Linked DNA regions of Lytechinus pictus. The protein of the gene in region 2 purifies or fractionates together with the protein of the main gene of each other region. This does not show direct contact. Links are inferred from orthologs where the notes say so. Each region holds a gene or a part of one and is shown on either strand. Other genes may lie near its edges. The genes, in order: U4/U6 small nuclear ribonucleoprotein Prp4-like, squamous cell carcinoma antigen recognized by T-cells 3-like, U6 snRNA-associated Sm-like protein LSm2 and speckle targeted PIP5K1A-regulated poly(A) polymerase-like.

Region 1 (7,383 bases), on a different chromosome or scaffold from region 2:
ATCTGCTGAAACTCTAGTCTCTTCACCCCGAATTTTGCCATCCGCTGTTCCCATGCCGCCAAATTTGCTTTTATAGAAACGGACAGGTAAGGGCTGGAACCATGCCGCGATTTTACTGGTGTCTTCCCATCGATCTGTGGAGAAACTGGTAAGGAAAATTTTTTAGAACATTTGAATTACACAGCATGATGGAAATTACCGATTGATATAATAGTTTAAGTTCAGAGTATGGTTAAGTAAATAAAAATATGTAGACCTACTTTATCCCTATGCGTTGATTTAGGTATCCCATATACCTCAGACGCCCTCCTTTTTGACATCTTGTCTACCATCCAATACTGAGTTGTCAACCTGCTGTTTGATATACTGTTAGTAAAGATTTGATATCTGTTTGAAAAGTCATTGAAAGTATGAACTCAAAGAATTTAAAATTAATATTAGACGAAAGGAACATTTTATTAATTCTATAAATCACTTTAGGCCTAACTCGGGCAACTGAATTCCAATTGAATTCACAACAGTAACTGATAATTCTAACCGAATTCGTCAACATTGTCATCCACTTTCGATTGATGTTATTAGCAATGATGACAATATTAAAAGGCCCCTTGTTTTAAATTAAAACGACCAAAAAAATTAGCTGCAGACCTCTGATATGTGAGGGACAGGCAAAATTGAGGGGCAATTTTCCAGCCTTTGATCTAGCAATGACGTCTTTTAAAATAACACTCGTGGAAGAGCCTTTTTAATTTTTTTTTCTTGGGGGGTCCATCATCCCTGGAACCGGATGTATTATTCAAATTAATAATAATATTGAAAATAACTATGATAACATTAAAAAAATAACACAGTTTAACTATTGAGGCCAAAAAGGAAATCACTAAGAATTAATCTCAATCACGTTAAAGGCAATATCAAAATGAGCCCTGGTCAAATTCGCCAACTTCGTCACCATCGTCATTCACCCGCTCATATTGCATTTTCACAGGCAATAAACATCTTTGTTTTAAGATTTTTATTAATAAAAATAATTGTAGGTATATTCTTAACTTATTTAGGCCTAACGTAGGCATATCATTTGCCCTATCATTTGAGAAAGATGTAGACTTCAACTCAATCACGCAAAGGCAATCAAAATGAGCCTTGGTCAAATTTACCAACTTCGTCACCATCGTCATTCACCTGCTCAAATTGCATTTTCATAGGCAATAAACATCTTTGATTTAAGATTTTTATTCATGAAAAATAATTTTAGATATATTCTAAACTTATTTAGGCCTAACAGAACAAAAAATGGATTAAGAGAAGTGTTTCACTTGCGAGGAGCAACGTATCTGCACGCTCTTCCCTCCTTACAAACACACCGGCAAAACACTCAATGTTGCGCGACCGAATTCTGGTCGAGCGCCCTCTCACTATAGGGGCAATGTATAAGCCCTCGCTACTCATCAGTTTCACTGCTAGTTGCATATTCGCTGCGACTGGGTGAACACACAAGTCTTCCCCTTCACACTCGTACCAAATTCACTACACCTACACACGAAGTCATGACGTCACAAGAGTTTACATGAGGCTGCGTCCGCTTAACTCAATAGCTAAGAAACCCGGAAGTAAACAAAACCCCCCCGACGCGGTCAATTTTAAGGTTAGTTTTTGGCTGTGTGCTTGTCTTAATCGACATTTTTTTTGAGGTGGGCTGGAAGTGCTGGTTTCTTGCATGATATGCCAAAGTTTTCTGGCTCATGCATTATTTTTTTTTTTTCAACAGCTGTTGAAACAGCTGTCTGACCGAATTCTGGGAGGTGACCGAATACCGGGCGCGTTACCCTATTTTATTTATTGGTGCCCATAATTAGTAAATTAATCATAAGAATTGCGCATTCAAAGAATTTAGACACAGTTATAAAATTACCGAGGAGCTGAATCAAGGTTGTGAAATTTATTAGCGCCACCAACGGGCTTCCTTGTATTTCCGTAGAAGAGACAAACGAAGTCACTTGCTAGGCCGAGGTAAGCGAAATTTGCTCTTTTTAAATGAAATGAGTTAAATATCATATGTATAATTTTGTTATGTATTGCTACTTACCGGAAAGAGCCCCGGTGCGTAGCGAGAAGGAGTTTCGGCAAATATTACTTCAGCAATGAAGCAATGTTTGCCGACTAGTTCGAAATCTACGGTCAAACACGGTCCGGTGTACGAGGTTCGTATAATATATACGAACCTCGTATTAGTTAACCCAGAGAGCTCCCGCCCGCGCAGCGGGCGGGAGCCCAGAAGCTTACCGTGTATTTTACCATTGTCACCGGACTAGGGTGATTTATGGTCTAAATATTTCTCAAAATGAATTGTGAAAACAGAAAGTATACAATTACCACGATTATATGGATGAAGGTCTAACGAGTGGCAGTTTCCTGACATCTGGGCACAGACTGGAACCTCAAAAAAACGAAAAGTTCTCTCCTTCTACCCCCGTTTCGATCGGCCATTTTTGTTAAAAATTGTAACAAAATGGCCGATCGAGACTGGGGTAGAGGAGAGAACTTTTCGTTTATTTGAGGTTCCAGTCTGTGCCCAGATGTCAGGAAACTGCCACTCGTTAGACCTTCATCCATATAATCGTGGTAATTGATTGTATACTTTCTGTTTTCACAATTCATTTTGAGAAATATTTAGACCATAAATCACCCTAGTCCGGTGACAATGGTAAAATACACGGTAAGCTTCTGGGCTCCCGCCCGCTGCGCGGGCGGGAGCTCTCTGGGTTACGTATTAGTGTGAGTGATACCGCCCCGGCCCTGCCAGATCAGATGCATTCTGCCATTTTCACCTTCTTCAATTGAACTTTTTTACCACGCAATTTTAAATACGTGGGACATACATTACGCAATTCAGAGCTGAGTCAGGTACACCACACATCCACGGCAAGACTTATTATATACTTGACATTATTCAATTGATTGAATAAAAATGAAAATTTAACATAAAAAAACAGTGAAATATTCATTTTAATACGTACATTATCAATCAATAGGGGGGAAATACGTAATACGAAATATAAGAAAGCTCCTCACGTTCGAAGTTCGTCGGTCAAAGTAGTTGAAGATAGCCACTACAAAGTTGACTGTTCGTTTATTTTGCAATTAAAGAATTTCAACAATATGTTTGGGGTTCAAATATATTAAATAAATTCAATTCTTTTTAATTTGAAACTTAAAAGTCTAAAAATATTATTTTTAAACTATTTTTTTTGATAAAAATAAAAAAAATCATTGACCCGTATTTTATTTTTAATACTTGGAAATACGATTCTTAAATTGATATTTTATTCATTACCACTCTCTCTTACCTTTTTCCTCTTCGGATTTCATGGTCAATACCAGACGTCATAGTATTATAAAATTCAATAAAACTGCACGTTATAAGTGTTTTACTTCGTCTATGATTGTATTATTTATTTTTTAATTGAAGATCTTCCAAAATAGTTGCGTTCTCTAAATTAAATCTTTGAGAAATGCAATTTATGCATTCGAAATTGATAATTCATCTTCAAAGTTTCTGCTGTGCGTTTTGAGATAAGGCTAATTTTGTGGTACACGTATGAATCTCTTTTTAGATCCTATACCACCCTGGAATTTCGATTTCAATTGAATTTCAGGTATACCATTTGGTTATCTTGCTATATTCGACACATTTCTCAAGGTTTTAACGAAGCAGTAAGAGAAGAGCTATCCACGCTCATCGGGAATCGACGTGCTGAGAGCTTAGAAGATCTCTGTATAACCTAGTTCAGCATCACTAGCTCCACGTATTGATTTTGCTGTAGGCAAACCTGAGGAACAGTTGCACTTGCAGTTGTCTTGTTGACCAGTCCATCCATCCATTCCTTTCTCTTTTTCATCATAAACAATTTCTCAAGATGGTTTTGATGACGATGATAGCCCGTGTCGCTGACGGGCTGCCCTTAGCAGCCTCGATGCAGGAGGATGAACAAGTAAGTTTATCTAGAATACTCATTAGAGAAAGAAAACCAAACAAATTGCATAAGTAAAAAAAAATAATAATAAAAGTACCGGTAAGTCAAAACGAGCCAGTGCAGTGTCCGTCAGTCTCCCCCTCTTTTGTTTGTGTCTGTGTGTGTGTGAGGGGGGGGGGGTGTTAATGTTATTTTGAATATGCAAACTAGTCAGTTTTGACTATTTGTTGCCATGCCTTGTATAGGCACGGCCGTAGTCACTAGATGGCGCTGTCGCGGAAGTGCTCAAAATTTGTACGCAAGCTTCGTTCGCATGTCAATCATTGCAATCGCATAGCGATGCGATATCGTCAAAATTAAGCCCCTGTTAGCGCGGATGTGTATGATATTTTCTCTTTGTGATTGTCCTCCCGTGCGATGAAAAATATGTCATCGTATTGCACAGGACTTTCGCGAGCTACCGATACCATTTTCGTGCCCCAAATTCCATGAAATCTTCCGAAAATAAACATGAAAGTGTCGGTAAGTCGAAAATGTCTTGAGTTGCTTTCAATTCTTACCTTATTTAGTTGTATTTCTTGTAAAATGGGTCTCGAAGGGTTCCGGATTTTCCGTTGATTGTGAAACTTGAGTTGATTTCCTTTCTGTGTATTGCAGTGAAATTGCAGCGCGGGGAATCGCAAGGGCTGGGGAAGCCCTTCTCAGTGAGGTTTGCAAGCTGAGCTGTCCTTGAATTTGGTCGAATTTCGAGCCATTTTAATCGCGCGCGGGATGATAAATTTACATCATAATAGAGATTAAGATTACGTCACGTACGTGCGTACATGTGATACACACAGAAATGAAATTGAACTTGAATCACACGGAATCACAGTCAAGAAATGCTTTGTTTTCTTCGTTTGCTGAATGATTTCCTGAATTTAAAATCATGAATAAACACCAGAGTAATGACATGAATAAGATAATCATGGTCATATTTGAGAAATAACTAAATATTTTCTGAAAACGAGTGAAGATGATGGGGCAGTGATGTGCATGCACTGGAAAATGAACATTCACTGTCAGTGTCAGTGCCGTGGTGTCAGTGTTTTACTGCCAATACTGGCTTTACTTTTGCCAACTACCGGTAGATTAAAAACTCATTTATTGATATGTTTATTGCAATTTTTGAATAAATGGTAATACAAAGTGGGAAAAAAAAGATAAATGAAGATAAAAATAATTTTGACTAAAAACTTGTCATGCCATCACCCCCCCCTAAAAAAAAATACCCACTATCTTGAATGACTCAGGTAATTTAATTTGTATTGAAAAAAATAAACAATTGTATTTATGCATTTTATATTTCTGATTCTTTCTGCCAGAATACCAGATGCCATCATGAATAACCTCACCACCAGGTTGAACTCCTAAACATCTTGATGATGACTATCTCCCGAGATATATCTTGCCTTCTTGAGATTGGAAGTTTTAAGTTCAAGTCAGAGCGACCTAAGGCCCTACTACCAAGAAGAATCCAGATTTACATAAAAACAAATCCCACGAAAGATACAAACTGATTTTACTATTAATGTGTAGTGTGTGTGTGAGACACTGTTTGTGTTTATTTTGATGAGGATCTCCTGTCTCTTTTTATTATTTCATTGACTGAATGAATGATCAATACCTAAAAGTGAGAACTGATTTTTGAGGAGAGTAGATAAGTGTATGGTTTTGAGTGAATTTGAGTAACTTTTGTTTTTATTACCGGTATTTTTTTCATCATTATTATTATTTTGCCTTTTATTACATATTTTCAGTTTATTTAACATTAAGTTTAAGTAACCAAACTTGATCAAAGTGTTCAATTTTTGGGATAGAATTTTGTAATTTCATTTATCAGGTAATAAAACTGAGTTTGGTAAATCTAAAAAAGGACACTAAAAATATGAACACTTGGAGATGCTCACTAAGATGAGGAAAAAACATGAAAGGAACTGGAACTTAAGTGGATGTTATAGCATGCCTTTCGAAGATCTCCAAGCACCTGGAATCATAGGCGGTGGAAGTGGGGGGGGGGGGACGTATCCCACTAAATTTTAGGTGGGGAGGGGACGACCCCCCCCCCCTCAATTTTTTGTTGATAACCTTTTTTTTTTTTTTTTTTTTGGCTTGTCAATTTTCACTTTTGTTTCCTGTGTCCCCCCCCCCCTAAGATTTTTGGTCACTATTTTTTTTTTTTTTTTTGTCAAAAAGTTTTGGCGGTTCCCCCCTAAAATTTTTGGCTTCCGCCGCCAATGCCAGGAATGATGATGTTCAACTGAGAGTCGCTGAAGTGGAACTTGTTGCAGAGAATGATTATTCCAGGACAAGTTAGATGATATTACCCAGCCCATACATCACAACAATGGAAGGGAGACAATATACCCCTGTACTACGTGAAGTATCATATTATCTTCAGGTTGGTTTGGAAAGTAATAATAGTCCTCTAGTCAATATTAACGTCTGTCCAACATAATGGTACTATCGAGCAATTTGGGGGTTCAATCACAAACAGCAAAAGTTTAGTAAATTGACACTAGTAAGATAATTAAACAAATATAATACAGCCAAACTGTCTGACCCCTTACTTGACTACTGACTTAACTACTTATTAAAAAATGACAAGTGATGCTTAGGCCCTTTGTAACCATTGTATTGGGCAGACTTTGAAGCAGATGACTAGAATTCATACTTTCATGAAGATGAAGGAAGATCAAAAGAATTATTACAATTTAGCAAATATGAAATTAGAACACTGTCATGGTTATAAAAAATAATGAATTTCTATCAAGTAAAATGACAATACAATGTAAGAAATAATTGCAATCAAGTAATTTCATTTGCAAAAGATATTTTCCATAATTTAATAACCAAATTTCTCAAGATAATATTCTTCTGCACAGAAGTGTATGACACGCTCAGTGTAAATCATGCTGTTTACAAATCTCTAGGAAACCTTTTTTTTCAAAATGAAAATACATGTAAACTTAATAAAAACCAGGGGTGGATCCAGGATTTATCCTGGGGGGGGGGGCACATTTTCATGATGAAAATTTGTCAAGCAAAAAAAGGACCTTGCTTTCCGGGGGGGGGGGGGGCATACTTTGGTGAAAATGGCATATTTTCATTACAAATCTCGACTGAGGCTCTCTAAGGGGGGGGGGGGTGAGCCAGATGTGCCCTCCCCCAGATCCACCAGTGATAAAAATCAACATATGTGAAAGATGGCATACGTACCTTATACTGAATTGGTAAATTCAATGCATATGTCTACAAAATGAAACTGACATGTTTGAATAAATTGCTTATTTTTGTTTCTAGAAAGAATTCATTAATAACAGCTTAGAGTTATTGAGAAAACATCAGGCAAACATAACATTCTGATATG
Region 2 (7,772 bases):
TTAACCTAATGTCCAAGTTTCATGAACTATATCCATAAATTTTCAAAGTTATGATGGTAATTCAACAAATACCCCCAACTTGGCCAAAGTTCATTGACCCTAAATGACCTTTGACCTTGGTCATGTGACCTGAAACTCAGGCAGGATGTTCACTCATACTTGATTAACCTTATGTCCAAGTTTCATGAACTAGATCCATAAATTTTTCAAAGTTATGATAGTAATTCAACAAATACCCCCAACTTGACCAGTTCATTGACCCTAAATGACCTTTGACCTTGGTCACATGACCTGAAACTCGAGCAGGATGTTCACTAATACTTGATTGACCTTATGCCCAAGTTTCATGAACTAGGTCCATATACTTTCTAAGTTATGATGTCATTTCAAAAACTTAACCTTCGGTTAAGATTTTGAAAATAATTCTCCCAACATGGTCTAAGTTCATTGACCCTAAATGACCTTTGACCTTGGTCATGTGACCTGAAACTCAGGCAGGATGTTCAGTAATACTTGATTAACCTGATGTCCAAGTTTCATGAACTAGGTCCATATACTTTCTAAGTTATGATGTCATTTCAAAAACTTAACCTTAGGTTAAGATTTGATGTTGACGCCGCCGCCGCCGCCGTCGTCGTCGGAAAAGCGGCGCCTATAGTCTCGCTCTGCTATGCAGGCGAGACAAAAATTTCAACCCCCCTCAAAAAAAAGAGAAACTGCCACAATAATCTGACTGGGGGGAGGGGGTGTTTTCTAAATTGCTTGACTTATTGGCAGTTTTGGGGTAGAGGGTCATGTAAAGCGTATACCAACCAAGATAGTCCTTCACAGCTCTGTCAAAGAGTTCCATGACCTTTTGTCTATCGTCACCACTCTCCATGAGCTTAAGCTCATCTTGAATCCACTGCATCCACAGTTCTAATGAAATTGAAAAAAAATGTAGATAAGAAAAGGTAGTTTTACCCACTGCTAAATGAAACTTGGTGGTCACTTTTCTGAATTGAGAAATCAATGGACTCATAAATAAAGTAAAGTCATGTCATTTCCCTATTTCATTTCCCATTTCACCATCTTTAGGTTAGATTGATTACTTTAATTCCATCTTCCTTAATTGTTACATCATATTTGTTAATACATAAATTATCATCATTCTTCATTATCATTAACTATATCTATTATCAGTGGCGGACCGTGACCCGGAGGAGTCAAAGCATTGGGGGGCACAGCATTGTTCACAAACAATACAGTGCCCCTCCAATGCTTTGTCTCCTCCGGGTCACAGTCCGCTACTGTCTATTATCATAATCAATTTTCATCATTATTCTACGTCTCATTTTTATTACCACCGCCATCATCATAATCATCATCACCACCAGCATCACCACCATTAAAATCAACATCACCAGCTTCATGTCATGAAAAAAATTGTTGAAACTATAGCTTTTAAGATTTACATGACTTCATGTCAATAAAACATACAAATATAAAAAAAAATAAAAATTACATTTGAAGACAAGAAATATAATGATCTATAGTATTGCTATGGATTTGTTTTTTTTTGTTTGTGAGTTTTTTTTTTTCATTTGGCAGTCCGTTTCACAGACATGGACTGTGGAAGCTGCAATAGAAGCTTTGATTTTGATCGGTTGCTTAGGCCCGTTACCATGGTGGTTACCACAATGGCATAGTTATCTTTGTCAGAGGTTCCTTATTTAAAACAGACCCTTGGTGGCGCAGTAATCTCACCTCCAGTCAGAGGGAATAGCTCACTCATATTCTGCCTTGCTTTTCTTAGCTTCTCCAGCTCTCCCGCTTGCCTCAGTATTGTGATCAATTTCAGATGTGCATCGTATTGATATGGGTTGCTGTTTACCTGGAATATCAAACAAATAAAGAAAATCATTCAAAACTGACCATTCACTGCAGAGGGGTGAAAATTTTGACAATTTTTCAATCAATCCAGAACACAGCTGCACAGCACATTTTTAAGTAATTTTTAACTTTTGCTTTAGCCGATGAAATCATTTAAATGCAAGCATGTCTGATTTTAGTTACAGAATGAATATAGAGCCTCTAAAATCAAACTAAATGAGTTCGTACAACACAGAGTATATCAAGTGTATTCACACCGTCTCAAAGTTTGGGAACTGCAGACTTGTTTTGATGGAATACTGTGTGGGGTACTGGGAGGCATGCTTACTGCGCATGCTTACTATATTTTCATTCATAAACTGGCTTGCGATAGTGGCTGGATGACGTCACGTAATAAGCAAAATGTATGTCGCCCGCTAAAGGCGCCGGTGCTAGCGATGAACACATTATTCCGTTTTGTAACTTGCCACCACTCTTTCAATGAACAAGGTTATGATAACCTTGTTCTCTGTTAGTATTCCTTGTGAGGTGAAATCAGGTTGGCAATGTTTGGCTCATTTTTTCTTGTTCTTGGGGACAAATGCTTGATTTTTTGACACTGTCAGTTTCTATTACAGCTATTCTTCATATAACTAGGCTCTTAAGTAAATTGAATTCTTTCAATCATTTTTCTAGATTGAAAATAGAGATTGAAAAATGAAAATTTTCTTGCAATTTTACTTTCCGCCAATAGAGGGCGTAAACAAAAATATGCCCAAAATTCAAGTTTTTGAGCGTTCTGGTGAATACAAAAATTATTCCCAAGTTACTAATGAAAAATGAATTGCAACTGTATGGAAATTAGTATTTTTGGTCACAAAAGTGATATTTTAATGATTTGTTTAAAGTGTGTGCTGTGTACAGCATTGGCATACCATATCCTACCTGTAGATTCCCCACAGGCAGGATGGTTGCAATGAACAAGTGGTGGTAGCATCCATCCGTCCCCAGGTCACGTCACATCAAAAGAAATATGTGGGACAATGCCAGGCATTATTGCCATAATCGCACTCAACACGTTCAGACACTTTTGTACTTTCCTCACTTTAATTCATAAAAATGATTTACCTCATCCAAGAGCTGAATAATCTCTTGGTCATCGGCATCCTCATCATCACTATCGTCACTCGAATCTTCGGAGGTAGCGCCTAGCTCTTTCTCTTCCCCCATTTCTACATTTTGCAATTCTGTAACATTCGCAAATTCCGCCATCTTGATTGTTGAAAACGCCCTCTGTAGAATAAAAATTACATAATGTGGTCCTGGGAATCCAGCCTTTGTTCATATTTTTAAGACGTTGTTTTAGAAAGGAAAGAAATTAATGAAAAAAGCGGATTGGTGAAAGTTTAAAAGAAATCAGACAAGCAATAAGAAAGTTATGGCTATTTGAAGAGATTCCCTAGACTATGTAGATTTCAAATGGGCAACTGGGCAAGTAAATTATGACCGAGGCAAGTTAATATTAGGGCCATAAGGACAACTTTTCAGGCAACTTTTCCATAGGCCCAGTCAGGGGACGGTGGATCCAGGGGGGGGGGGGCAAAAAAAAAGGTTTTCACCCCAAATTGGGGGTCATTTCGTCCGAGTAAAATTGACAAGCAAAAAATAAATGTTTTCACACAAAATTTGAGGTCATTTCGTCCAAGTAAAAGCTAGCAAGCAAAATAAAAGCTAGCTGAGGGCCTCACTCGTGTATGAACCACATATAATGTATGCAGTTACTTTCAAAGGGGGACACACTTGTTTATTATGCATATTTACATTGCAAATTTTGATTATGGTTCTCAATAGGGGGACACAGACCTGATGTGCCCCCCCCCCCCCCCCGCAGTGGACCCATGCAGTCACGGTATATTATCAGGGATTTATGGTTTTCAGCGAAGTGCCCATTCCCCGGCATGGGGCAGTAATCTAAATGTAACCCAGGTAGTACATTACTTTATGTCCTCATGAAAGAAAAATATAAGTTGCACTAAAACTTTTCAAAAAAATTGACATTTTATGTATTGGATTTGCCTGGAGTAGTCCTTGTTTTATCACTATGACAACTAATTTGAAGTCTCCATGGGTATAGTGATAACTCTTTAAAAACAGCATAACTTTAATGTTTGTCGATATTGTTCAAACTATATCACCTTTCAACTTGTTTCATTTTTCTTTTCCCTTTAAAACCAAGTTTTTGTTTGGGTTGAATTCCCCGATTTAAGTTTAGCATGTGGACGATCGAGCGGGGGATCGAGCCCGGCATAGTGGAACCCTGTCCTCGAGAGGCCCTCTCTTTTATAATAAAAACACCCCCCCCCCCCCCATTTCTTTTCGTTAAATCTTCTTTCTTTTTCTTATCTTTAAACATCCTTTAATTATTTTTTTTTCTTTTGCTTCTCTTTCTCTATCTTTCCTGTTCCTTTCTTTATACTCCTAATTCTTTTCCTTCTCTCGAGTTTTCATCCCTTTCCCCTTCCTTCTTTAACCCCCTTTTTTTCATTTCTTCTCTCTCCTTTCCCATTCCCCTTCTTCATTTACTTTTTTTTAATTGATCTCGATGGCCGCGGTCTGCGGGCTCGAATCGATGGCCCAAATGTGCACATGCTATAAACTTAAAGGACAAGTCCGGCCATCGAGAAGTAGGAAGGGAAAGAAATGATCGGAGAGGGTGAAAAGGGGAAGGGGAAAGGAGAGAGAAGAGACGAAGAAAGGGGGGTCGGTAAAATAAGGAAGGGAAAAAGATAACAGCTGAAGGAAGAGGGAAAGAAAGAAAGAAAGAAAGGAACAGGAAAGATAGAGAAAGAGATGCAAACGAAGTGAAATTTAGAGAAAGAGAATAAATTAATAAAGATAATATAAAGAAAAAGAAAGAATTAACAAAAAGAGAAAAGGGGATTTTTTTTTATTTTCATAAAAGATAGCCTCTCGAGGACAGGGTTTGCTGAGTATGTCGGGACTGAGGGAAGGAAAAGGGGAAAATGAAGAGGGGAAGAAAGACTACCGAAACCCTGCATCCCCTCCACCATGAAGTAGCGAGGGGGGGGGGTTACATTAATAGACACTGAGCCTATGAAGGAAGATGGAATGAAACGAAGGGAGATAAAAAAGAAAAGGATGGAAATAAAGATAGAAAAGAAATTAGATGAATATGTTTAATTCGAGAGGCATCGTATAACGTGATTACGAAAAGTGCTCAAAAAATGTCCCGTCTTGCGGCCTCAGAAGTCAAACGCCAAAACGGGATTTTGTTCCAACGTATCATTCATCTCGTCACAGGCCCCATATCACTATACCCATCCCATACAGATCAGCCCCCCCCCCCCACACACACATACTTTTGGGATCAAGCCACCGATTTTTATATTACCTGTTTAAATAAAAATCAGTTAATATAAAAATCAATTTATTTGATAACTTATGCTATTTATATCAAAATAAAATATATTTTGCCTCTTGAATATATAACACTATTACTCGATAATGGAATGGCTGAAAATTCAAGGATTTGATCTGTTTGTAGATAAATTCGCCAAGGAATCATGGACAATGGAAGAGGGGTTTGCCAAAATGTAGAGATTTCACCCAAATCTCCCTCATTTGGGAGCACACCCCCTCCCCCCTTTATTTTTTGCTTGTCAATTATGTGTTTTGGCCACTATCACACCTTCATTTTAGAGGAAAAAACATTTCGTTTTTGCTTAACAAAACAGCGCCCTCTCTTTGAAAATCATTCCTGGATCAGAAGAATATCAGTTATGAAATTTACGTTTTTGACTGTGACATCTAGATGAGTAGCTCTAATACATTCCTCTAACCCCCCCCCCCCCCTCCCCACATAAACACACACTTTTCTACAATTTATGGAAGTTCAGTTCGCTTTCAACTGACATGTACAAAAACATTAAGAGTACTATCTGATTGCAATTTTTTCACATGGTCAGCCCCCCCCCCCCACCCCCACTTTCAAAATGGTTAAACACTCACAAAAGGCACACTCCCTGGGACTCATCTGGGATTGTAATTTTTTGAGAAAAAAATAAGGAAAACCCACTAAGCTCCCTTTCTTTCAAAGATACATGGCCATTCTATAATCATTGCCTGTTTCTCAAATTTCTGCCTTTATTTCAAATGAAATGATATTAGGTTGGTCTTCTTTTTTTGTACAAATTCACCTCAATGCATACTCATTCATTCTTTTTTCTGTCAACACAAAAACATACAAAATAACTCCAGAACTAAGAATTTGACGAATCAAGATTTATCATAGCATGGCAGCTCAATTTATAAATGTCTTACATAATATATATATACATTATACATGCATATACAGTGCAATAAATAAAAGAAATGTGTCAATATAACAAAGCAAAATGGGTACAAATCAAATTATAGTTTCACATAATTGCAGCATGTAAGTTTGTACAGAATAAGTATCTTGTGAAATTATTTTTGACAGCTCTCATCAGACTACTTAAAATAAATCTCTGTATGCTTCGCACGAGTATGAGTCATTAAAGACACTTAATTTACTGTGTATTTATGCCACTTTTTAACATCATTTACCTGACATGAGGACAATGATGCTAGCTTGAAATGAAAACAGGCCCTGGGTGCCAGTAAAAATAGTATTACTACTACTACTACTACTCCTAATAGTATTCCGCTTTTATACATGTATAGCACTTAATACATCGGAATAAGACCTCAAAGCGCTTTACAGATATATATATACCAGGGTCATCCTGGTACAAATATTTTCTCCATCTTTTCGTTCATTGCATACATTTCTGAACTAAACTATGACATATTTTACATAAGTTTTGAAGACCCAAAATGCTGTGATTAGGGGAAGGGTGGGTCAGTTGTACCACTTTTTATTCAAAGTCACCAAGAGCTTGTACCTAGTAAAATTGAAGAATAATAGCTATCATATATTATGATAATGTTTCTAAGATTAGAATATTATCTCAATGAAAACAATGTCTTTGAAAAAAGTAATTTTGCACAACTAAGCCTCTTGATGGGGTCAGTTGTACAAGGATGTTACATGGGTTGAGCCATATATCCATAATACAAGAAAAAATGTTATCAACATTGTCAACAACAAAAAACATTATCAACAATATTTTTAATTAACACTATTTTATTTTAATAAAAACCTTGACCTGACCCAAAGTGAAATTGAAATATCATTTACCAATTGAAAGCTTATAAACTACAAAACACAGCCATGCAAAGATTTATGAATTTTCACCAGTTTTCGCTAGTTGAGTATTTTGCATGAGAGTAGCTCCAATTATCAGGCTTTGAAAATAAGTTTTATAGTGGTCTTCACCGTCCTGAAGTCTGTGATGTCATTCCGTGTCAGAAGCAACATGATTCCATACAGGTTGGGTGATTTTTTTTTTTGCTTTGCTTTCCAGAATCCAGATTACACATTTGATTTTCTTTACTTCTATCAAAACATAAATCATTAATAGCTTTTCCTAATCCTTAAATTGATGAAATCTACAGCTTTGGACTTTTTTGCCTTGTTTTATTTCCTGCTCATTTGGCACTTCTTTTCATTTCTATCTTCATTCAGATTACATGTAACAGTTTCTCCTGACATAACTTTGGCCAAAGAGAGCCAAATAAAGAAATCACAAAAACCTAATCAAGAGCTCCAGGTCTCTATCCATTTGGCTACAGAATGATTATCAGTGCCAGTTTCCTCTGTAAAAAAAAAACTCATCAAATTCATAATCTGGAAAGCAAGAAAATTGTCAGACTTTTCTACATACACACCTATGTAATCACTACCCTCCTGCCACAGTGTGATGTCACATGATTCAGACTGTTAAGGAGCACAATATATAGTTTCTTATTTAAGCAAA
Region 3 (7,953 bases), on a different chromosome or scaffold from region 2:
AATAAAATAAATAAATTAGATTTTTCACACGCAGCCTCTCATATTTTCCTTTTTAGTCTCATACAATCAGACACTGTTGATTTTGTTTACACCATTCAAACCCTATTTTTACCTCAACAAATAACATATTAACGCATAATTTGCAAATTTATCATTATATATTTAGTATTCTATAAAAATACAGAATATTGAACTAATACAGGGCTCGACACTAGCGCCGGTCCGACGGTCCCAGACCGGTAAAAATCACTGTCGGACCAGTAGATTTTCAGAAATAGCAAGATTTACTGGTCCGACATGACCAGTAAAAAATATCATTGTCGGGCCAGTAATTTTTCCAAAAATAGCAAGATTTATGGGTCCGACATAAACAGTAATAAAAACTATTGTTGGGCCAGTAACTTTTTCAGAAATGGTCAAATTCCCTAGTCCAACTTAAATTGACTCAAATTGCGAACCATTTTCCTCCCGTTAAATTCTGGCATTCACACACAGAACACACACAGAATGAATCGCATGCAATTTTTGATAGGGTAACATACAGTGTACACGTGGCTAGCCAGCCACACAGCCCACATGGTAAATTTCCTACTGGCTGCACGAACGAAGCTTGGCTAACCTCTGGCAGATATCTCTCACAGAACTGTCAAAATTCACATTTCACACTAATGAAAAGCTCTTATAATGTCCATATTTCCTAAAAATTTGCCAAAATTGGGGTAACTCTGTCATTTGTAAGCAGTAAAAGGAGAAATTTTCACTTCTGTTTTAGTTCAAAGAGATCGGGTTTCGAGTGATATCGTCTGAATACATGATAGCCCCACATATGCATTTGTGTGTGTGTTGATCCACTTGGTTTCTTTCGTAGCTAGTACTAGTATATTTTAATTGAGCCAAAAAGAAACTGATAATTTATTTATGATGATAGTTTTAGCTTTCTTCCTTTGTTTTCTTTCAATCTTTCTTTCCTTCTTTCTTTTCAATCTTTCTTTGTTTCTTCCCTCTCTTCTTTTACTGTCTTTCTTTTTTAATTTTCCCTTTTTCTTTGTCTTTTGTTCTTTCTTTCTTTCTGTCCTGTTAATATTTTTCTCTATTTCTAATGCTCTTTCTTTTTCTTTCTTTTTTGATTTCCTTCTTTCTTTAATTCTTGAGTCCATCCATCCTATATTTATCTCTTCTTTCTTTCTTCATTTCCTTCCTTCTTTTCCCCTTTCTTTCCTTCATTCTTTGTTACTAACTTTCTTTCCTCATTCCATCCATCCTTTCTTTACCCTTTCTTGTTTTTATTCCTTCTTTCAGCCCTTTCTCTTTCATTCCTTCCTTTCTTCTTTGTCTTTTGTTCTTTCTTTTTCCCCTTTGTTCCATCTATCCTTTTACCTTTTCTTTCTTCCTTTTATTTACTGCTTGCTTCCTTTCCTTTCTTTCTTTGAAGTTTGGTCTTTCTTTTTTGTTCTTCCTTGCATTTATTCTTTTACTTTTTTTTTTTTTTTTTTATATATTGCTTGCTTGCTTCCTTCCTTCTTTATTCCTTCCCAACATTCCTTTTTCCTTCTATCATTTTCCCTTTTCTTGATTTCTTCCTTCTTTCAATCCTTTCTTTCTGTTTTCCTTCTTTCCATCTCTCCTTTTACCCTTTCTTTCTTTTTTTATTCCTTCTTTCCTTCTTTCTTTCATTACTTTGTCTTTTGTTCTTTCTTTCTATATTGCTTGCTTCATTTCTTTCCTTCTTTCCTTCATTCTTTTTTTCTTTTGTTCTTTCTTTCCTTCCTTTCCTTCTTTGGTTTTTTTTTCCTTCCTTCACATTTTTTCTTTACTTTTTTCTTCCTTCGTTTCTTTTATTCTTCCTTTTTTCCTTCTTTCCATCTCTCCTTTTACCCTTTCTTTCTTGTTTTATTGCTTCTTTCCTTCTTTCATTACTTTCTGTCTTTTATTTTTTCTTTCTTTATTGCTTGCATATTTCTTTCCTTCTTTTTTTTTTCTTTCTTTCTTTCTTTCTTTCCTTCCTTTTTTTCTTTCGTTCTTTCTTTATTTTTGTTCTTTCTTTCCTTCCTTTCCTTCTTTCTTTCTTTTTTTCCTTCCTTCACATCTATCCTTTCTTTACCTTTGCTTTTTTCTTCCTTCCTTCCTTTCTTTTATTCTTTCTTCCTTTCTTTCTTTTTGTCTTTCATTCATTCATTCCTTCATTTTTTTTTTTGGGGGGGGGGTAACAAGAAAGGACAGCAAAATAAACTCACGCCTTTTTTTAATGTTTTCTTTATTTTTTGGGACCAGTAGATTTTAGGTTCGGACCAGTAAAAAATTGAAAAACTGGGTATCTACTGGTCCGACATGAATAGGTTGGACCAGTAGAAAAAAAGGGTTAGTGTGGAGCCCTGACTAATAAAATGTCGAAATTACTTAGTTAAATCAATTTTTAGGTCGGACAAGGGTCTCTTTCATTGAAATATCAATGAAAGGTGTCTCTAAATGGACACCGTGTTCTAAATAAGGGAAATAATGATTTCGATTTTATCCAGTTAGTTATGTTTGTGAATCTTGAAAGTTTTTTCTCTTTTTACCTCATAAAGTAAGCTCCATACATCGATTCTACAATCAGTAATAACTAAAACATTATTTGATCTCCTTTTATTAAAATATATGATTTTATGAAAAGTCGCCATTCCGAAATAAAAGGTTCAGACAAAGTTCAAGTTCAGGTGACGATGAAGACTCCGATTCCGAATACTATCGATATCAAACGATGTCGCGGACTTGGAAGACAAAATTGCCTTCGTGAAACGGAAAGCGCTGATTTGTCTTCAATCTTCCTATCTCGGAAGAATGGTCCTAGGACGTTCCTACGTATCGCTCATCTCGTCGTCTCTAGCTGGACTCCTGGACCTGGTCCTGGATAGCCTGGAGGCGTCTGGGGAGTGAAAGACTTATACTGTACGTATGGTCACTCCCCTAACGCCTGGCACTGTGTCCTATACTATCCTACACACCGAGGGAAAATGCAACTATAGAAATGCGCCAAACTGCTAGTTATGTTTAGATTCTAGCTTTAAAACTTATGTACATGGGTAAAAATATTGGTTGGCAACGTTTGGCAAAAAATAAGTGTTCATGGATTTGAAATGACGAATAAATTAATATGAATAAGAAAAGTAGAAGAGAGTTCACTTACACTTGTTGACATCGCCATCTTTGATCCTTTTAATTGCAACCTAGTTACGTGACGCGTATAGAGGGCGGCAAAATCATGAGCGTTGCTAGATTAAAAAGTGCTAAAATGTCCCGCTTCAACCACTGAACTAGAAATACGTGGAAGCCGTGTACACCCAAGCAAAACATCGCTGGCGAACTCGATAAGTCACATGACCGCCGCCATTTTGCTAGGTCAATTGTTCGAGAACGCGCCGCGCCGTAGAAGGCAAAATGCAATATGTTTTCTCTATGTATTTCTAGTTCAGTGGTTGAAGCGGGACATTTTAGCACTTTTTAATCTAGCACCGCTCATGATTTTGCCGCCCTCTATACGCGTCACGTAACTAGGTTGCAATTAAAAGGATCAAAGATGGCGATGTCAACAAGTGTAAGTGAACTCTCTTCTACTTTTCTTATTCATATTAATTTATTCGTCATTTCAAATCCATCAACACTTATTTTTTGCCAAACGTTGCCAACCAATATTTTTACCCATGTATGGTAGTGTATCCTATTGCCGGACACCTTTATTTCAGTGCTTTAAAAATGACAACTAGAGAAAATACAATCAAGAAAAATTCGCACTTGCTATTCCAAATATAATGAAAATTATTTTATATTTACGAACCATTTTCTTTGCATCGCACTTGCCGCATACCCCTCCACGAAAAACTATTATTTTCGTGCGCGACAAATTACATCATGATTCCGGACGCGCTCCGGACGGGTAAAGATATCCTTGATTATAATGATGTGAGAATAAATTTCAGTGATTTATTTCTTCTTATATCATATCATGAATAAATTCTAACTTTTTGTTTGCTTTTTTTATATCGAATCTGAGCAGATGTTGGTAATAAATTCGTGTTTGATAACTTAATTTATTTTTTATTTTTTGGTTAGCTGCATGTTTCATGGCACTTTCCAGTGCTCGTTCGTATCGTGACGCTCATCAAGTTTTATCGATGCGCAGCCGATCGTCGACGGCTCTACTCACGGTAAACCTCGCGCACGGTACCTTGAGAACTAGCCGTCGACGATCACCCACAATACACCTCACCTGATCATCATTCGATCGAAGGAGCCGACGAGATTGAAATTAGGCAAATCAGGCCCATATTTCCGTTAGAAAATATATCAATTCATTCAATTGTTAATGCAAAACTATGTTATATGATATTTTAAGCATTTTCTGTCATTTTAGAGATAAATAAGGTAGAAATTTGATTTTTTTCGCCTTGTTTTTGCAATCTTGTTCTATGTATTGATCTGTGAAAATGAATTGCGGAAGTCTTACGGTTCGAAATTGTTTTCGAACGCATTTATATGCGCGTCCGGAATCACAATAGTGTCCGCCCAGGTAAAAAAACCAGTTGAAACCAGTTGAAATTTTAACTGGTTTCAACTGGAGTCAACTGGTACCAGTTGAAACCAATTGGCACAACTGGTAAACTCCCACCATGCCAGTATATTCCAGTTGAAACCCATTGTCCCAACTGGACATGCTGAAAACATACAAGTTTATTCCAGTTGAAACCAATTAACTATACTGGTATAAATTAGTACACCAGTTAATACCAGTTAAAACCAATAGGCCTTTCTGGTTTATCTACCAATAGATTCCAGTTTAAAACCCATTAGCCAAACTGGACCATTTGATGCCAGTTGGAACCCATAGAAACCCAATGGGTGTATATACCAGTTAATGCCACCTTAAACCCATAAACCATACTGGTATATCATTAAACCAATTGATACCAGTTAGAACCAACATGCATTACTGGTATACCTACCAGTTGATTCCAGTTAAAACCCATAAACCAAACTGGATCAGAGTGTTCCAGTTGGAACCCATAGACCTCCCATAACCCCACTTGAAACCCATTAACCATACTGGAATATCAAACCAATGGATACCAGTTAGAACCAATATAGGCATTACTGGCATATCTACCAGCTGATTCCAGTTAAAAGCCATAAACCATACTGAAGCAGATTATACCAGTTGGAACCCATAGACCTCCCATAACCCACTTGAAACCCATTAACCATACTGGAATTTCAAACCAATTGATACCAGTTAAACCAGCATACATTACTGGTATACTACCAGTTGATTCCAGTTAAAACCCATAAACCAAACTGGAACATATTTTACCAGTTGGAACCCATAGACCTCCCATAACCCACTTGAAACCCATTAACCATACTGGAATATCAAACCAATTGATACCAGTTAAAATCAACATACATTACTGGTATACTACCAGTTGATTCCAGTTAAAACCCATAAATCAATTAAACTGGGACATATTTTACCAGTTGGAACCCATAGACCTCCCATAACCCACTTGAAACCCATTTACCATACTGGAATATCAAACCAATAAATTGATACCAGTTAGAACCAATAGGCATTACCAGTATATATCTACCAGCTGATTTCAGTTAAAACCCATAAACCAAACTGGAACAGATTATACCAGTTGGAACCCATAGGCCACCCATAACCCACTTGAAACCCATTAACCATACTGGAATATCAAACCAAATGATACCAGTTAGAACCAATAGGACTTACCAGTTGATTCTAGTAAGAACCCGTATATACATATATAATATATACATATATATATATGTATATTAGAGGCATAGTGGTAATGCATTGTACTTATTTCCAACAGAGTTTATATATATATATATATATATATTATATAAGAACTATGTTTTCATACCTTTGTTGTTTTATTTGTCGCTTCTCTTAAACTGACTTTTGAAATATTTTTGTAATTGTTGATATCTGCAGTAATCATTCAAATTTCTTATCCGACAAGTCACTGGCTCAATATAGCTGTAACCCACTTTACATTAATATTTATATTTTTTGTACAGATCATATTACTTCAAAGTCCTCTTATCTTTGTTTTTAATTCCTTTTGAGATAATTCTTTATGATTATCATTCATGAATGTGTTTCCTATAACTATTATTATTGTTACCATCAACAAAGCGTTACTTTTCTAAAAAAAAAGCAAGTATTATTTCATACAATCCACTCTTTAATCTACATGTATTGTTATTCATTCAACATTGGTTAAATATATATTTATGTGAAAATGTTCATTATGTTAAAGGTATATAGTACATTTAGCCTACTCCCAACCTTTGCCCATTCCTGCTTTTGACATTACTCCCCCCCCCCCTCCCTGTATACTTTTCTTTTTGTATCCCCTTTCCAATATTATACATTAGTATACTTTGTTATTTTTTTGTTGCTTATTTGTTTACTGAAATTTTGCTCTGTACAAATTCATGTAATTCAGCCTTTTACCACAATAAATGCCATGCATTTATCCATCCTATACACAGCTCGATTGAGGATAAGAGGAAAAAAATATCTACATAATAACTAACTTAATTATTCTTTATGTTAATTTTAATATTTCCACCTTGAAAAGTTTCATTAAAGTATGTGGTTCGATATCACCATATAACTTAAATCGAAACATGTTATTCTCAGTGAAATTTTCTAGTTTACATTAAAAAAATTGTTATCCTAGATATTTGTTGCGAGAAAAAAATTTCTTCCTATTTAATCCCTTTTTTCTAATTTAAGTTAAAGAGGACTATTTTACACTATTTTTACAAATCACATAAAAATTAATGTATTTTTCTTTTTTTAACTCACTGATATTTTAAAAATATTTTTGAAGGTGAATAGAATAGCTATTTTTTTCTATTTATAACGCGCATATTTATTGCTAGTTTACAACCTTGCCATGTTAAGCAAGGCTATCTTTATCTTTCAAATAAAAAGAAAATAAATAAAATAGAAATAAAGAACAAATATTAAGCTAATTCATTCTTAAACTTTCAAAGAAAAAAAAAGCTCCATGCAAAAGCAGAGGCAAAATCGTCATTTCTTGACTGGTTGCCAACCAAAACCAAACAAGAAGAAATTTGTATGTTAAGAAGTTCGTATTTCTATTTTAAAACTTCTTTCTTGCTTTAGACCCCCCCCCCCCCTTCGTTATTCCTTCAATCACCGGGCGCGGGCGGGCCTGCGCATGCGCACTGAGTGCCACTGATCGCTATCGTCCGTATAATTATGCAAATTAACCAGCGCCGCCAGGCGCCAAACGCAAACCGCCAATCTAATTTGAATTTGAAAGAGCCATCTTCGCCGCGCCGTTAATTTGCACCGCACTTTTATCGAGTGCTAGTGCGATAAAGAAGGGTAAAGAAGGCCGTTTTAATAATAATTCAACCACTGAAATCACACGGACCAGATTTGGACAATGACTTGAAAGCTAAGACATTCGCAGTAGGCTCTACAGGTAAGTTAACAATTTTCTATGATTTTCTTTTCGTAGTTTGTTAAATGGCGCGGCTCGCAGCTAGCTGCGGGGCTAGCTGTAACGTTAGAGTTCGTCAGGACATCCTGTTACTGCCCCTCAGCGCTGCCTGCCGGCCGCGACTAGCCGGGCGTGGATGTGTGGCTGCCATGCCGGTGCAAGTCTGCGCACATACATCATATTGACCTTACGATTTGTGTTAAGATTTAACATGAATTTTGTTTTTATTTCACAAAATCTTTCAGTTGATATTGTTCCATATATTGTTGTAAGTAAATGAGAGAGATATGTGATCGAATGTGAAACTGATTTTCTTGGTCTTGGAAAAAATCTGAGACTCAGCCAGTTATGATTTTCAATTTCAGATTTAACATTATGATAGTGGCCAGCGCCTCGTGTCTGCGCACCAATC
Region 4 (7,744 bases), on a different chromosome or scaffold from region 2:
GAAAACCCTACAAAATGTAACTAACTACAAAACAAAAACAGGGGTACCCCTATCAACTGTGTGTCAATCTTTCGTAGATAATCTAAATGAATTCTATTGCAGATTCGATAAAAAAAGATGGATGAATGCGATAGCAATAGAATTGTTTGGACGGAACATGACGTAAGAGTGTTGTTAGGTCATGTAAAGGTCAGCAAGTCACCCAGTCCAGATTGTATCCCGAATAAAGTTTTGAAAACATGTTAAGACCAGCTCGCTGGTATTTTCAGACAACTTTTTCAAATCGCCCTCGATTGTGGAGCTATTCCGGAACTTTGGAAAACATCATCCATAGTTCCTATTACAAAAGTCAAGAACCTGGTTGATATGAATGATTATAGACCGATTGCGTTAACATGCAGTATTATGAAATGTTTCGAGAAACTGATGTTAAAATATCTGTTAAAACAAACAGATGCTCACTTAGATCCATTACAATTTGCTTACAGATCAAACAGGGGAGTAGAAGATGCAGTTTTACTGCACTTACACAAAACATTGTCTCATTTAGATAAGACTAAAACGTATGTGAGATCGACATTTATCAATTTTTCAAGTGCATTTAACACTTTGGTTCCACATCTGCTAATTCAGAAACTAGATGAATATAATGTTTATCCACAATTATCACTTCTGTACCTTGGTACCACAATCACGTATACTCTTGACTGGACTGTAAACACAATCTCAATTCAAAAGAAGGCAAATCAAAGACTCTTTTTCATTCGCCAACTCAAAAAGCTCCATTTGGATAGGTCGATTTTGTCCCTGTTTTACAAGTCTATTATTCAGTCAGTTGTAATGTAATTTGCTTCTATAGCAACCTTACTAAATCGAACAAAGAAAGCTTGAACGTCCACGGAAAATTGCTCAGAAAATAATCGGTCTTGAATTACCCCCAATTGAAACTCTGTACAACGAGAGATTACTGGCTAAAGTTGAGGCTATCTTAAAAGATCCATCTCACCCTCTACACTGCTATTATAACTTCAATAGGTCTGGTGTACGCCTCTGTGTCTCCCGTACTAACAGAGTACGTTTTAGGCAGTCATTCGTCCCCAATTCTCAACATGTGTTTAATAGAACAGTTATCAGATAGAATGGGGAATTGCACTTAGCTTACTATGAAAAGGTACTTAACCCCGCCCCTTTTTAATACTCCTTCACCTTTAATTTACCTTCCTCGCAATACTCGTTCCACCCCCCCCCCCCTCCGTATTCGGGCTGGAGATGGAACCACAAACCAATTAATACTTGAATAATTAATTAATTCATATATCTGCAATTGTACTTATTCTATTTTATTTGAAATAACGTATACAGCATTTTGTATGTGTATGCAATCCCACGGTATTGTAAGTCTATTCATTCTGTGTATGTGCATATGTATTTGTAATTTTGTAAACCCGATGTGAAAGGAATTTCCTACACAGGACAATAAATACATTCAATTCAATTCAATTATGGTATCTGCAATCACTGCACAAAGCAACTTTTCCACTTAATCAAATGTGGATCTCAGCAAAACTATACCTGTTACTAGGTTGCAATGGGCATAAATCTTGTTAAATATGCCTGTTGCCCTTGGTTTATTGTTTTACAGACTTGGTCAAATACATGACCTAACTTTAGACCAATCAGAGGGCTGGATTATTCAACATTCTTTAATAACTTTAGATAATTTTTTTCATTCTAACTATTGCCCATTGTCATGTGTATTATTTCAGTTATCATTGATGAGAATGATCGATCAAAAATGCCAGCATTTTGTGGTATAAAGATTGGTAGACTGAAGAAAGCATAAAGTTTCACCATGGTATTAATCTCACCTTATCCTTGTCTACAATGACCTGAGCAACAGGGCCAAATTTGGAGAAGTAATCTGTGAGCTCTAATTCAGAGACGAGCTTGGTAAGTCCCCCAACAAATATACTACATTCTGCTTGCTTTTGTCTTGAAGCCTGGATTGCAATCAGACGTTGATGTTTCTTTCCTTGAAGATGATCCTCAACAGCTTTACCTGCAATCAGAAAATATAATGCTAAGGATGTAAACCTGAGAGAAAGTCTACCCTAGCTTCTCTGAAGCTTTTCAGCCCTTTTAAATGAATCCAGAATATTCATTTGCTTGGCTCTTGGCCTTTGCTCTGCCATGTTGACAACAGCCTAATATTAGACAGATTGAGGGAACGACTACAAGAATCAAGAAATAGCTTCAATGTTGTTTGAAAATTTATGAATTCTTGGACTTGTTGTTAGTACATTTAGAAAATCGTAGCAACCACATGTACATGTAGCAAGAATGTTGAACAGTATGTTTGTAGTTTGAGCATCCATTCTATCTTTAAGGGACCCATGCAATATAAAGTTCAATTCTTAACCCGGTCATTACAACATAGCTTGACACTTTCACTGGATGGCTTGAATGGGGCAAATAACATGTCATGTTGGACAAGTAAAAATAAAAAGTAAACAGTAATATTTACAGGTACCAGTAGGCATACTTGCCAAATGGGGCAACAAAGTTTTGATCATAAAATGTCAAAAATGAATTGAACAAGACCCCTGGATCCGTGCCTGGTTAAACCAAAAAGGGCAATGGACAAATTAATGTAAATTTGACTGTCTACAATTGACTTAAAAAAAAAAACCTGACACACCCTTTCAACAAAAGGTTGTATTCCAGGAAACTATACGCTACCCAGTACCCAATGCACCCTTTCCGCAAAACCGGGGGGGGGGGGGGGGGTGCTTTGGATTAAAGGGTGTGTTAAAATTTTTTGAAACCTTCATACACATTAGGCATATGAAGGTGTAAAAATAAATAAAATTACTAACATTTACGTGATTTCTATCTTCAAAGATAGGGAAATCCATCTTTGTTTACGTGTGTCTCTTATACATATATGGGAGGTGGTTCAAGGCTCCATGATGAAGAAGTATATGTCAAAATATTAAAAAAATATCATCATGGAGTCCTCAAGGCTAAGTCTTCTGTCTGTGTAGGAGGGCTGAAAAATAAGCCCTTTTCACATTAGGCCTAGTTAGAAGTACTGAGTGTACCTGGGCCCCGTCTTACCCCATACCATGTTCCAACTTACCCCGTATATGGGGTAAGTTGGAACGCTTGCGATGTTCTTGTTCAAGGTGGATTTTTTCAGTAACCGTCATGGAGTTAAAGATTTTATGGGGTACATTTGAAGCCCTTAGTCTTAGGTATATGCTTTAAGCTGATATATTGTTTCTCAAATAAATTCTATTTGGAATTTACAGCAATTTTTGTCAAAAATGTTCCAACCCAATCTCCCCTAATACAATACGTGACTATCTACACTGTTGGACCACATTAACTTTAACAAGTAACGTTAGATCCATTCTAGGGCCTAACGTTTTATTTTTAACAACAGAGTCTACCAATTTTTTATTGAAAATATTGACAAAAGATAAACAATTGTCGGTTAAATTTTTTTGGGCAGTATAGTACACGGCCAATATAGGAAACTCTCTCCAATTATAATATGAGTAAAAATCTCCCATATTCAGGGGATGGAGACTTGCTTTGCAAAAGAACAAAAGAAACAACACCAACAAAAGCATATTTTTTCCTACCAAAATTTGTCAGAGGTCAGAAGCCCATTTGTTTTGTGTGTGATTGTGAATAACAAAAATAACCAACAGGCAACAAAAGCATATTTTTTTCTACCCGAAATTTGTCCAACTCCGAGGTCAGAAGCCCATTTGTTTTGTGTGTGAATTACAAAAATCCTTATCGAAACAAAAGTAGACGGTGAAAAGGGGTAATTTTTCATGAAGAATCTGCTTAGGCCTATCACATTTTTATTTGCCGCCAAGCTAATCCTTTTGCAGCAAATGTTAACAAACTAAGGAAATTGGTCTCCCAAACTCAAACTCAGTCAAAGTCAACTGTCTCTGAAATAGGATACCCAAATTCTTTACAAAAGTCTCTGTTTATCACCAGAAGATCCTGCGTCCACAACTGAAGTTAATCTTAAGCAAGGCTTATGTTACGTTTGACCCGGAGACCTCGACACTGTGTTCAGGCTGCCGCAGTAATGTAATTGTAACCTTATCTCTCTCATTAGTATACTATTAGTATTACTCATTAAGTCATTATTGGGTCTGGGCCACTCACACAACATGCGAGGTTAGTGGGTCTGGGCTGGGATACAGTCTCCCATATTGGCCGTGCGCCTCTGGAATGACCCGTAAGCCTTCAAAGATTTTAACAATTTAATTCACATTTTTTGTGTAATCAAAAGACAAAAAAAAGGCTTCAAATGAAAGTTCAATTCAAACTGAAGTGTCACGTGTTCGGACGCCCCACGTCCATTCCAACCCTCATCTTGTTCATGACCGGAATTAACATCGCACATCATTATCATGCGCCATCATCGCAAAGCAAAAATTGTCGACCACAACGTACCGGTACCGTACGGTAAGTGTTTTAAATTGTTATGTATGTGAATGAACAAAGAAGGATATTCAACGCATTTTTAGACCTCTAATACCTGACATGATTTTCACATTGCAGATGTCACAATGGAAAGATTTCCCTTTTGATGATATCGTATCGTGCTCCATGATGCCCGTTTCAGATTCAAAACATCCGCCGGCGGAGTATAGGTAGCTATACAAGTACCATAGCAAAGGTTGGCTTCTCATCATATTTATGTAGTACACTTGCGTGGTTAATGTATGTGCTTGATCAATGTGTTACAAATCTTTTGTGGCAGGGCCTTCGTCTTGTGCAATCGATTCAGGAGTTAGCTACTGAATACCGTACCGGTACTGTCGGTTCATATTTCACTTTCAGGATCTTCACTTTTCTGGTTGGCGGATCATGACATGGAACTCATATATGTATTTAGTTTGTCTGTTCTGCTTCATGGCAGTTTATTGCACGGTAAATATCCCTTGCATGTTTAAATTGACTTCGATGTTACTGTTTTTTATCCAGGGAAGTGCGAGTTGGTCAGCGATTTTGTTTTTCACTCAGCTTGTCTGTTGAAAGTTGAATGAATGGGAATGATTTTGGCGGGCATAAACCGGTCGAAACACCGGTAATCGGTATGAACTATGATGGGGGGACCTAACCCAGGGAGCTCAGGTGGGTGTTTCATAAAGCTGTTCGTAAGTTAAGAGCGACATTAAGAACGACTGGTGATCCTTTCTTGTGGCGAATGGTATTCATTAGCGATGGTTTTGCGCGTAAGAAAGGATCACCAGTTGTTCTTAAGTTAAAGTCGCTCTTAACTTACGAACAGCTTTATGAAACAGCCACCTGGCCCGTTCAGGACTCGTCCGTGTAATACTGGGCAGACATATGCTCTACAAAATGGGGTACACGTAGAATGGGGTCGCAATAGCACTCCAAATAATAGGGGAAAAAATAAATCGTGCACCTATGGTCGTGACTCGTATTGCCGGACACACTGGCCCGTATTCTCAAGTCGGGTTTAACTTAGACCACGGTCTAACTCTGTGCTAAAATTATGGGAAGCCAAAAGAGTCAAAATTTTCATTAAAGGGATGGCCGGGCTGAGAGTATTTATAGCTTAATAAGTAGAGTAGAATTCACTGAGCAAAATGCCGAAAATTTCATCAAAATCGGATAACAAATAACAAAGTTATTGAATTTTAAAGTTTAGGCTTTAGCAATATTTTGTGAAAACAGTCGTCATGAATATTCATTAGGTGGACTGATGATGTCACATCCCCACTTGTTTTGTATTTTATTATATGAAATTAGGTTTATTCAAATTTTTTCCTCCAAGAACTAGAAAAATTGGATTGACAACTGATTTAGTGCATTAGATATTTATTGCTGCAACTTATTTCATTATATGAGAGACATTATTCACACTAGTATGAAATAAAGAAAAAATGTGATTTCATGTAATAACATAAGAAAACGGAAAGTGGGGATGTGACATCATCAGCCCACCTAATGAATATTCATGACGACTGTTTTCACAATATATTGCTAAACTTTAAACTTCAATAACTTTATTATTTGTTATCCGATTTTGATGAAATTTTCGGCATTTTGCTCAGTGAACTCTACTCTATGTATCAAGATAAAAATATTTTCAGCCCGGACCATCCCTTTAAGTTGTATGTTTCTGATGTTTACTGTGCTCTTTTCTGATTCATTGATGGTGAAGACAATCATCTATTTATACTCCCTAGACAATTATGAATGATTTGAAAGGCAAATGAGCTGAAATATGATATCTCTACTGTTAGTGATTTATAATGTAACAACTGGCTATCCATACTTAAGCCACAACTTTAAACCTGAGTTTAAGTTAAACCCGACTTCAGAATACAGGCCCTTAAATTTATTTCAGTGCTTTAAAAAGGGCATATAGAGACGATGAATTCAAGAAAAAATTGCACTAGCTTAGCTATTGATTCTAAATATGAAGAGCTCACTTGCAAAAGGAGTTAGGTCCATTTTTCATCAAATTTGATTTTTATGTCTTGATGTATAGATTTTTAGTAGCTCTATAAGATGATACCAAAGAAAAGTTGAAATTCCTATTAAAAAGTGAACTAAAATGGCAAAGAAAAGTCACGTTTTTTTCAAAAGGGGTTAGGTCCACAGAATTTTTTTGGAAAAGAATATCTTAAAAAATATGAAGACTGGTAGATTTCTCTTATTTTATGTTCTCATGGTAGGGTAATAGGGTATCATGAAAATTTAGTTTCGCTTACGAATATTGCAATATGGGAGAATTAAAAAAATGATTTTCTTGGAGTGGACCTAACCCCTTTCGCAACTAAACTCTTTTGAAGAACTCATAAATTCGTCAAAAGGGGTTAGGTCCATTTTTCATAAATTTTATTGTTTTTTGTTTCTAAACCTCTAAATTTTTAGTCACTCTGAGTCTCTGATGATATGAAAGACAATTTGAGATTCAAATGAAAACGTGAATGAAAAGGGCAAAGAAAAATCACTTTTTTAATCAAAAGAGATTGGATTCATTTTAGTTTAGTTGCAAGAGGGATTAGGTCCACAATGATAATTTTTCAAAAAAATTGAAGACAGGTAGATTTCTTTTATACCCAATTTTATGTTCACATGATGGGGTAGTACATCATGACAATTCAGTTTCTCATAAGAATATTGCAATAAGTGAGAATAAAAAACATGGTTTTTCTCGGAATGGTCCAAAGTGGACCTAACCCCTTTTGCAACTAAACTCTTCATATATGAAAATTATGAATATGGCAAAATTCTGGCCGCACTTGCCACATACCCCTCCACGAAAAAACAATGATTTTCATGCGTTAAAAATAACATGATTCCGGACACGCGCCCTCTTATCTCTATGGGATGCAACATTATATCAAACATGCTGACGAGATGCGTCGGGTGACGAGATGGGTGACAATATTCTTGTTTAATGATTTAAAAGGGAATTGGTGAGATTTTTTCTTCATATAGCATATAAGATGCAAATTTTCAGAATTTTTCTAGTTTTTTGTCTCGCCTGCATAGCAGAGCGAGACTATAGGCGCCGCTTTTCCGACGGCGGCGGCGGCGGCGTCAACATCAAATCTTAACCTAAGGTTAAGTTTTTGAAATGACATCATAACTTAGAAAGTATATGGACCTAGTTCATGAAACTTGGACATAAGGTTAATCAAGTATTACTGAACATCCTGCCTGAGTTTCAGGT

The links.
Region 1: the proteins of squamous cell carcinoma antigen recognized by T-cells 3-like (region 2) and U4/U6 small nuclear ribonucleoprotein Prp4-like purify together in Homo sapiens (affinity purification with mass spectrometry; 5 studies listed by BioGRID and IntAct, counting the BioPlex papers as one, with this or other methods). This does not show direct contact. The link is inferred for Lytechinus pictus from reciprocal best matches to the Homo sapiens genes SART3 and PRPF4.
Region 3: the proteins of squamous cell carcinoma antigen recognized by T-cells 3-like (region 2) and U6 snRNA-associated Sm-like protein LSm2 purify together in Homo sapiens (affinity purification with mass spectrometry; 3 studies listed by BioGRID and IntAct, counting the BioPlex papers as one, with this or other methods). This does not show direct contact. The link is inferred for Lytechinus pictus from reciprocal best matches to the Homo sapiens genes SART3 and LSM2.
Region 4: the proteins of squamous cell carcinoma antigen recognized by T-cells 3-like (region 2) and speckle targeted PIP5K1A-regulated poly(A) polymerase-like purify together in Homo sapiens (co-immunoprecipitation; 4 studies listed by BioGRID and IntAct, counting the BioPlex papers as one, with this or other methods). This does not show direct contact. The link is inferred for Lytechinus pictus from reciprocal best matches to the Homo sapiens genes SART3 and TUT1.

What each region holds. Positions count from the first base shown.
Region 1 is NC_087259.1:20,211,478-20,218,860, reverse strand, and holds the start of U4/U6 small nuclear ribonucleoprotein Prp4-like, read right to left. Parts: upstream 3,162-7,383; 5' UTR 3,073-3,161; exon of another isoform or gene 3,018-3,072; intron 1-3,017. Other genes in the region: vesicle-trafficking protein SEC22b-like, read left to right, coding at 3,918-3,992. UniProt on the Homo sapiens protein: Plays a role in pre-mRNA splicing as component of the U4/U6-U5 tri-snRNP complex that is involved in spliceosome assembly, and as component of the precatalytic spliceosome (spliceosome B complex).
Region 2 is NC_087246.1:34,702,156-34,709,927, forward strand, and holds the start of squamous cell carcinoma antigen recognized by T-cells 3-like, read right to left. Parts: upstream 3,148-7,772; 5' UTR 3,124-3,147; coding exon 2,980-3,123; intron 1,874-2,979; coding exon 1,747-1,873; intron 919-1,746; coding exon 814-918; intron 1-813. UniProt on the Homo sapiens protein: U6 snRNP-binding protein that functions as a recycling factor of the splicing machinery. Promotes the initial reassembly of U4 and U6 snRNPs following their ejection from the spliceosome during its maturation.
Region 3 is NC_087259.1:10,985,582-10,993,534, reverse strand, and holds the start of U6 snRNA-associated Sm-like protein LSm2, read right to left. Parts: upstream 3,185-7,953; coding exon 3,167-3,184; intron 1-3,166. UniProt on the Homo sapiens protein: Plays a role in pre-mRNA splicing as component of the U4/U6-U5 tri-snRNP complex that is involved in spliceosome assembly, and as component of the precatalytic spliceosome (spliceosome B complex).
Region 4 is NC_087247.1:65,568,465-65,576,208, forward strand, and holds the start of speckle targeted PIP5K1A-regulated poly(A) polymerase-like, read right to left. Parts: upstream 3,210-7,744; coding exon 3,140-3,209; intron 2,060-3,139; coding exon 1,869-2,059; intron 1-1,868. Other genes in the region: nuclear envelope integral membrane protein 1-like, read left to right, coding at 4,905-4,962. UniProt on the Homo sapiens protein: Poly(A) polymerase that creates the 3'-poly(A) tail of specific pre-mRNAs. Localizes to nuclear speckles together with PIP5K1A and mediates polyadenylation of a select set of mRNAs, such as HMOX1.